Linked DNA regions of Macaca mulatta. The protein of the gene in region 2 binds, or shares a complex with, the protein of the main gene of each other region. Links are inferred from orthologs where the notes say so. Each region holds a gene or a part of one and is shown on either strand. Other genes may lie near its edges.

Region 1 (3,206 bases), on a different chromosome or scaffold from region 2:
AAGCAAATTTACTCCCAGTTCTTTCCTCAAGGAGGTGAGGGGACAAGGCGCAAAGGGCAGCAGCTGTCCTTCTCTAGGCTGAGGGAGGGAGGGATTCTGGAGGGGCTGGGAATGCCAAGGTGATGGGGGGTATGGGGAGCTCCATAGAAGGAGGAAGTCCTCTCCTGTGTGGAAGCCAACTTCTCCACACTCACCCTGCAGACTCCAGCACCTATGCCACTTTTCTCTTCAATGCCTTTGACACCAACCATGATGGCTCGGTCAGTTTTGAGGTGAGCTGGGCGAGGTGGGCCAGGGAAGCCTGTTTCCTGGACTTCAGGGCCAGGATCTCCAGGCCAAACCCAGGGAAGGGGTTGGGTGAAGAGTACCTGAAGACACAGCTCCCTCCTGCCTCCTTCCCAGGACTTTGTGGCTGGTTTGTCCGTGATTCTTCGGGGAACTGTAGATGACAGGCTTAACTGGGCCTTCAACTTGTATGACCTCAACAAGGATGGCTGCATCACCAAGGAGGTGCAGGGCAACTGAAGGGCTGGGGGGCTGTGGCACTGATGGGGGTGGTGTGCAGAGGGTGATGGGAGGGAAATATGACCCATATATGCCCACAAGCAAGGGATCAAGGGAGGCTGGAGGCTCTGAGGAAGCATCCTCTTGTCTCTTGGCCTAACAGGAAATGCTTGACATCATGAAGTCCATCTACGACATGATGGGCAAGTACACATACCCTGCACTCCGGGAGGAGGCCCCAAGGGAACATGTGGAGAACTTCTTCCAGGTACTTGGGACTGGGTAGGCTGGAGGGCCCTGGAGTGAAGAGAAGGAGACCAAGAACCAGCAGGGAACTCACCTGACTTCTGTCTGCCTCTCTTGCCCATCCCTCCTGTTCTCCCTGCCTGACCACCTTCTTGCAGAAGATGGACAGAAACAAGGATGGCGTGGTGACCATTGAGGAATTCATTGAGTCTTGTCAAAAGGTACAGCTCCCTGCCCTCGACATTACCCTGACCTGGACTCAGGCCTGATTTAGTAATGTAGGGAAAAACTTCTTTGGGCAGAATACCACCTCCCCATCTCACCCCCACATTTCAATCCTATTCCTTTGTGGGAGGCTTACCCCTTCCCTACCTCAGGTCTCTCTGGGCATCTCCTTCCTCTGTGCCTTTGAATGTCCCCATCTGTGACTCAGTGTCCCTCTCCCTGTCTCTGATAAGCTCCTTCTCTTTCTGTCTCTTCAATCTGCCTCGCTCACACCATGGCCACAGGATGAGAACATCATGAGGTCCATGCAGCTCTTTGACAATGTCATCTAGCCCCCAGGAGAGGGGGTCAGTGTTTCCTGGGGGGACCATGCTCTAACCCTAGTCCAGGTGGACCTCACCCTTCTCTTCCCAGGTCTATCCTTGTCCTAGGCCTCCCTGGGGGCTGGAGGGATCCAAGAGCTTGGGGATTCAGTAGTCCAGATCTCTGGAGCTGAAGGGGCCAGAGAGTGGGCAGAGTGCATCTTGGGGGGTGTTCCCAACTTCCACCAGCTCTCACCCGCTTCCTGCCTGACACCCAGTGTTGAGAGTGCCCCTCCTGTAGGAACTGAGTGGTTCCCCACCTCCTACCCCCACTCTAGAAACACACTAGACAGATGTCTCCTGCTATGGTGCTTCCCCCATCCCTGACTTCATAAACATTTCCCCTAAAACTCCCTTCTCAGAGAGAATGCTCCATTCTTGGCACTGGCTGGCTTCTCAGACCAGCCTTTGAGAGCCCTGTGGGAGGGGGACAAGAATGTATAGGGGAGAAATCTTGGGCCTGAGTCAATGGATAGGTCCTAGGAGGTGGCTGGGGTTGAGAATAGAAAGGCCTGGACACAATGTGATTGCTCAGGCATACCAGGTTATAGCTCCAAGTTCCACAGGTCTGCTACCACAGGCCATCAAAATATAAGTTTCCAGGCTTTGCAGAAGACCTTGTCTCCTTGGAAATGCCCCAGATATTTTCCATACCCTCCTCGATATCCATGGAGAGCCTGGGGCTAGATATCTGGCATATCCCTGGCATTGCTTCCTCTCCTTCCTTCCTGCATGTGTTGGTGGTGGTTGTGGCAGGGGAATGTGGATAGGAGATGTCCTGGCTGATGCCTGCCAAAGTTTCATCCCACCCTCCCTGCTCATCGCCCCTGTTTTGAGGGCTGTGACTTGAGTTTTTGTTTCCCATGTTCTCTATAGACTTGGGACCTTCCTGAACTTGGGGCCTATCACTCCCCACAGTGGATGCCTTAGAAGGGAGAGGGAAGGAGGGAGGCAGGCATAGCATCTGAACCCAGTGTGGGGGCATTCACTAGGATCTTCAATCAACCCGGGCTCTCCCCAACCCCCCAGATAACCTCCTCAGTTCCCTAGAGTCTCCTCTTGCTCTACTCAATCTACCCAGAGATGCCCCTTAGCACACTCAGAGGGCAGGGACCATAGGACCCAGGTTCCAACCCCATTGTCAGCACCCCAGCCATGCTGCCATCCCTTAGCACACCTGCTCGTCCCATTCAGCTTACCCTCCCAGTCAGCCAGAATCTGAGGGGAGGGCCCCCAGAGAGCCCCCTTCCCCATCAGAAGACTGTTGACTGCTTTGCATTTTGGGCTCTTCTATATATTTTGTAAAATAAGAACTATACCAGATCTAATAAAACACAATGGCTATGCACAGGCTGCCGTCTCTGCCTTTTGTCCCTCCCACCTACAAATACTACACAACCCCTAACTCATGCACCTGCAGCCTTTTAGATCCCCAGGAAAGTAGCTTTCTTTTCCATAGTTGGCCATACCTTGGCATGAGACTGAGACATAGGCTCTGGAATGGTTGGAAACCCACCGAACCTCAGGCCCCCACATGAATCTCCCTCCCACACAGCCTGAGAGGAGACAAGGAAGGAAGGACAGGACACTGATGTCCCAAAGACTGTGCCAAGCAAGCTGTTTTTTAGCTGACATTCTTACAAGTTGAATCACAGATTTCTAATTTACAGACTTTTTAGTTAATCTCAAAGTGCTTTCTTTTGAGGGGGCTCCCTTTACTTTTTTTCTTCTTCTTCTTCTTTTTTTTTTTTTTTTTTTGAGATGGAATCTCTCTCTTTCGCCCAGGCTAGAGTGCAGTGGCCAGATCTCGGCTTTACTGCAGCCTCCGCTTCCTGGGTTCAAGCAATTCTCCGGCGTCAGCTTCCCGAA
Region 2 (3,652 bases):
ACTTACAACTGTGGAACAGAATCACGAGTTTGTGGACGAACAAGTCTTTGAAGAAAGCTGCATGGAAGTTGCAACTGTTAATCGTCCTTCAAGTCACAGTCCCTCACTGTCTTCACAACAAGGAGTCACCAGCACCTGCTGTTCACGACGACACAAAAAAACTTTTCGCATCCCAAATGCCAACGTATCAGGAAGCCATCGAGGTAGTGTACAAGAACTCAGCACGATTCAGATCAGATGTGTGGAGAGAACGCCTCTATCTAACAGGTACCTGAGATTAATCTGTGTTGTCTGCACACCTGTGCTGGTTCCCAGGGTGTGTCTTCTGCACTCATGTTGTCACATATGTGGCATCTAAATTCCTAGCTCCTATGGTTCAGGAAGAGACAAAACTGGTAGTGTAACAAGTAGGAAAGTGGTTCTACTTGCATATCCATTAAGGGTTAAAAGTAGCAGTTATATCAATATTCAAAGAGTCAAAAGAAGGAAACATGATTGGGTGGACACAAATGTGTTTTTCTCTCTTCTGCTCCACAACCTTTTCTTTCTTGGGCAAGGACTTTTATACTCAGGATTCTCTTATATATTCAATAGCCTGAAATGATGGTGGACACTACTAAAAGAGTCAAATGAAATTGAGATCAACATGGCTAAAAGTTATTTAACAGCATGTAAAAATATACAAACACACTCTCTGTAGCAGTAAAAATGAAAACTTTGCCTACACAAATCATTTATATCAATATATAATTTTGATCAGAAAGATATTTTTGGCCATATCAAACACAAAATCAACATAATACAAAAATAAGTGAAGTACTAAAATTGTTTGCCTCTGGTTAGTTCATGAACAAGTTAAGTAAAACTTCCGTATTGATATTTTTGCTTTGCTTTTCCTTATTCACTGTCTTTACCACAAATGTGTAAAACGAAAAAGTAGTACACTTAAACAATATATGTCATTAAAATATAAGTTTCTGCCAAAATAATTTTATTCTGTTTTCAAATTGAATAGCATATGTTTTTAGTGTTAGAGTCTGTAAATTCAGTCCCCTTCTTTCTTGGCATTCAAAAGTCTTTGTTGAAATCTGGATGAGATTCTGAATTCAGGTGATGTCGATTTACATAAATTGGATGTCTCTGGGACTAGAAAATTAAACTTAGGAGCCATAAGACTTCTATCTTAAAGATATTTTAGCTTTGCAGCCTTATATCCTTTATAAAAGGAAGTCAACAATGGAAAAGTATCGAGCAAGAAAATCTTAGGACATAAACATCTTAATTATGTTTTCCATGAAAATAAAATAATTAGGTTCAAGCTTCTGTGTATATCCTTCTCTCTCATTTCCCTTTTATCCGCTTCTCCATATAGAGTATACAATTCATCCAAGAATACCATTTGGGAAAACCTTAAAGTATTAGATAGTAATAGATAAATTTTTTGATTTTTATAATATGTGGTCATCATTAAGTTGAGAGATTTGAGGGCATTATACATCCCAAAAAGACATGAAAATAAAAATATTCTGTGGTCAAAAGAATTAAGAAATCAATGTGATATGGCTCTTTCATAGTGGTTTCTCAAACCTCTTAGAGGTCCTGTCTTAAATAAAACTACTTTGTTCAGCCCAGGCTGTCCAAATCTTACTTGATGCTCTTTCTTTCTTACATTTTTTAATAATACTTTTAGTTTGATAAACACTTGATGGAACCAAGTGAAACTGTCTTTTAGAAATTTATTTAATGTTAATTACTGACTATATTCATCTTTAACATAGATTAAGATTTGGGGTTTGATATTTTTAATTATAATAACTTTCCTTAGACAATTAAAATGTTTTTATAAGCATTACAACACATATTCCTCAGTTGTATGAAAAAAATTTAACTAAACAACTTACTTTCTTAATTTTTTTTTCTATCAGCCGATCCAGTTTAAATGCCAAAATGGAAGAGTGTGTTAAACTAAACTGTGAACAACCTTATGTGACTACAGCAATAATAAGCATCCCAACACCTCCAGTAACCACACCAGAGGGAGACGATAGGCCAGAATCTCCTGAGTACTCAGGAGGAAATATTGTCAGAGTTTCTGCTTTGTAAGACACTTGGAATAGGGTTTAAGAGAATTTGAGTCCTGGCTGTGAAAAGAATCTCAACGTAGAAGAAAGAAGAAACTAATATTCTGCAGATTAAGGCAGCAAAGCAAGAAGGTTGGAAATGAAACAAAAACAAAGCTTCCAATCTTAAGGATGTGAATAAAACCACCAAATGGCATTTCTAGACAGTTTGACCTGTTACACAGAGTAATATTCTGTGGCCCTTTGACTTTGTGAATGAGCACAATGAAATGCCGCCTATTGATGCTTCTTATGATCAGAACTCTTTTTTAATAAAATAAATAAAATAAATCTTTGAACATAATGTTCCAGTTGAATGCAAAACAAAAAAAATATGGAAAACATTTTGATAAAATTTTTTCCTGTTAAAACCATGAACATTGGCTATGATGAAGATTATTACATATGAAAAAAAAAACACAACATATTTGTATTGACTGAAGGAAACCATCATAATGCATGCTAGAATTCTTTGAAGCAGTGATCTCAGTTTCTTTATGTTGTCTTCAGAATAGGCATGATAAACTATAATTGTAGAAAGGGGTAATTTCTGTGCACTTACAACAAGCTGAGTGTTCATGTTCCATGGTGGGCTGTGCAAATAAACTCCTTTTAGAACTGCAGTATTTCTCATGGGGATACTCATTAGTAAATCTAAAGTGTTCAGATAGTTCAGTATTAATTATCGTTTAACTTTGCACCTAGATACTGTTACAACTGCAATAATTCATTGTACAACTGTTGTATCAGGAATCAGGATTTTTCTGTTGTTGTACTTTCCAGATCTTTATAGATACGGTAGGAGCCACGTTCGTAGAAAAACTTCTGGTGTGGCCAGGTTTTAGGTAACTTTTTAATCCAAAACTATTGTGCCATAAATGTTTTTCAGTAATATTCTTTGGTCCACTGTATTCCTGTGACAGTGCATTATCTGTTCTTGTATTTCTATAGCACCTTTCTATTGGGTTTATCATCATCAACAAGACTAATGTTTACTGTAGTTCAAGTGACTTTCCTACTTTTGTATTTCAAAAAAAAAAAAAAATTATCTTGTAAGTAGATTGTCCTCAATCCCCTTGTCAAAAATGAGAAAAAAAAGGAGTTGACCCATGTGAATTATCACTAACGTCTTTGTTGTTTATGGAAAAGCCCAGATACTGGATCTATCACTATGTATTTTATGAAAAGAATTGACTGGGACTAATATCACAGGATCGGTCATCTCAGAATCTTACTTGATGTATTATTTATTTTGCCTCAGATCTTGAATACATTTTGAGAATAACTAATGTGGATTGAAATGTAGAGATAAACTAGAGGGCTTTATTGAGCAATATTTGATGAAAGCATGCTTTCTACACCATTCAGGAAGGCAGCACAAATTTATCTCAGAAAAGTTCCTGTGTATTGCGAGGTACAATTTTCTCCAATAAATCAGGAGGACAGGAGTTTGATGATGCAAAGTTGATCTCTGTACATTTAAGTGAAAAGTTTTTATAACTTTTCACCCTTAAAATATGTCAGCAGACATG

The links.
Region 1: the proteins of KCND2 (region 2) and KCNIP2 are in contact, whole or in part, in a cryo-EM structure (PDB 7UKH), measured with the Homo sapiens proteins. The link is inferred for Macaca mulatta from reciprocal best matches to the Homo sapiens genes KCND2 and KCNIP2. Residues at the interface, in NP_036413.1 of Homo sapiens: Val5, Ala7, Trp8, Leu9, Pro10, Phe11, Ala12, Arg13, Ala14, Ala15, Ile17, Gly18, Trp19, Met20, Pro21, Val22, Ala23, Ser24, Gly25, Pro26, Met27, Pro28, Ala29, Pro30, Trp55, Asp57, Arg61, Arg100; in NP_775283.1 of Homo sapiens: Arg112, Gly113, Phe114, Asn116, Glu117, Cys118, Val123, Phe128, Ile131, Tyr132, Gln134, Phe135, Phe136, Tyr144, Leu148, Phe152, Phe165, Leu169, Ile172, Leu173, Arg180, Trp183, Ala184, Leu187, Tyr188, Met201, Met205, Ile208, Met211, His228.

The regions. Positions count from the first base shown.
Region 1 is NC_133414.1:113,911,013-113,914,218, reverse strand, and holds the end of KCNIP2 (A-type potassium channel modulatory protein KCNIP2), read left to right. Parts: coding exon 1-34; exon of another isoform or gene 35-201; coding exon 202-272; exon of another isoform or gene 273-402; coding exon 403-510; intron 511-667; coding exon 668-772; exon of another isoform or gene 773-801; intron 802-908; coding exon 909-971; coding exon of another isoform or gene 972-1,019; exon of another isoform or gene 1,020-1,157; intron 1,158-1,259; coding exon 1,260-1,307; 3' UTR 1,308-2,690; downstream 2,691-3,206. UniProt on the Homo sapiens protein: Regulatory subunit of Kv4/D (Shal)-type voltage-gated rapidly inactivating A-type potassium channels. Modulates channel density, inactivation kinetics and rate of recovery from inactivation in a calcium-dependent and isoform-specific manner.
Region 2 is NC_133408.1:160,514,271-160,517,922, forward strand, and holds part of KCND2 (A-type voltage-gated potassium channel KCND2), read left to right. Parts: intron 1-19; coding exon 20-267; intron 268-1,925; coding exon 1,926-2,103; 3' UTR 2,104-3,652. UniProt on the Homo sapiens protein: Voltage-gated potassium channel that mediates transmembrane potassium transport in excitable membranes, primarily in the brain. Mediates the major part of the dendritic A-type current I(SA) in brain neurons.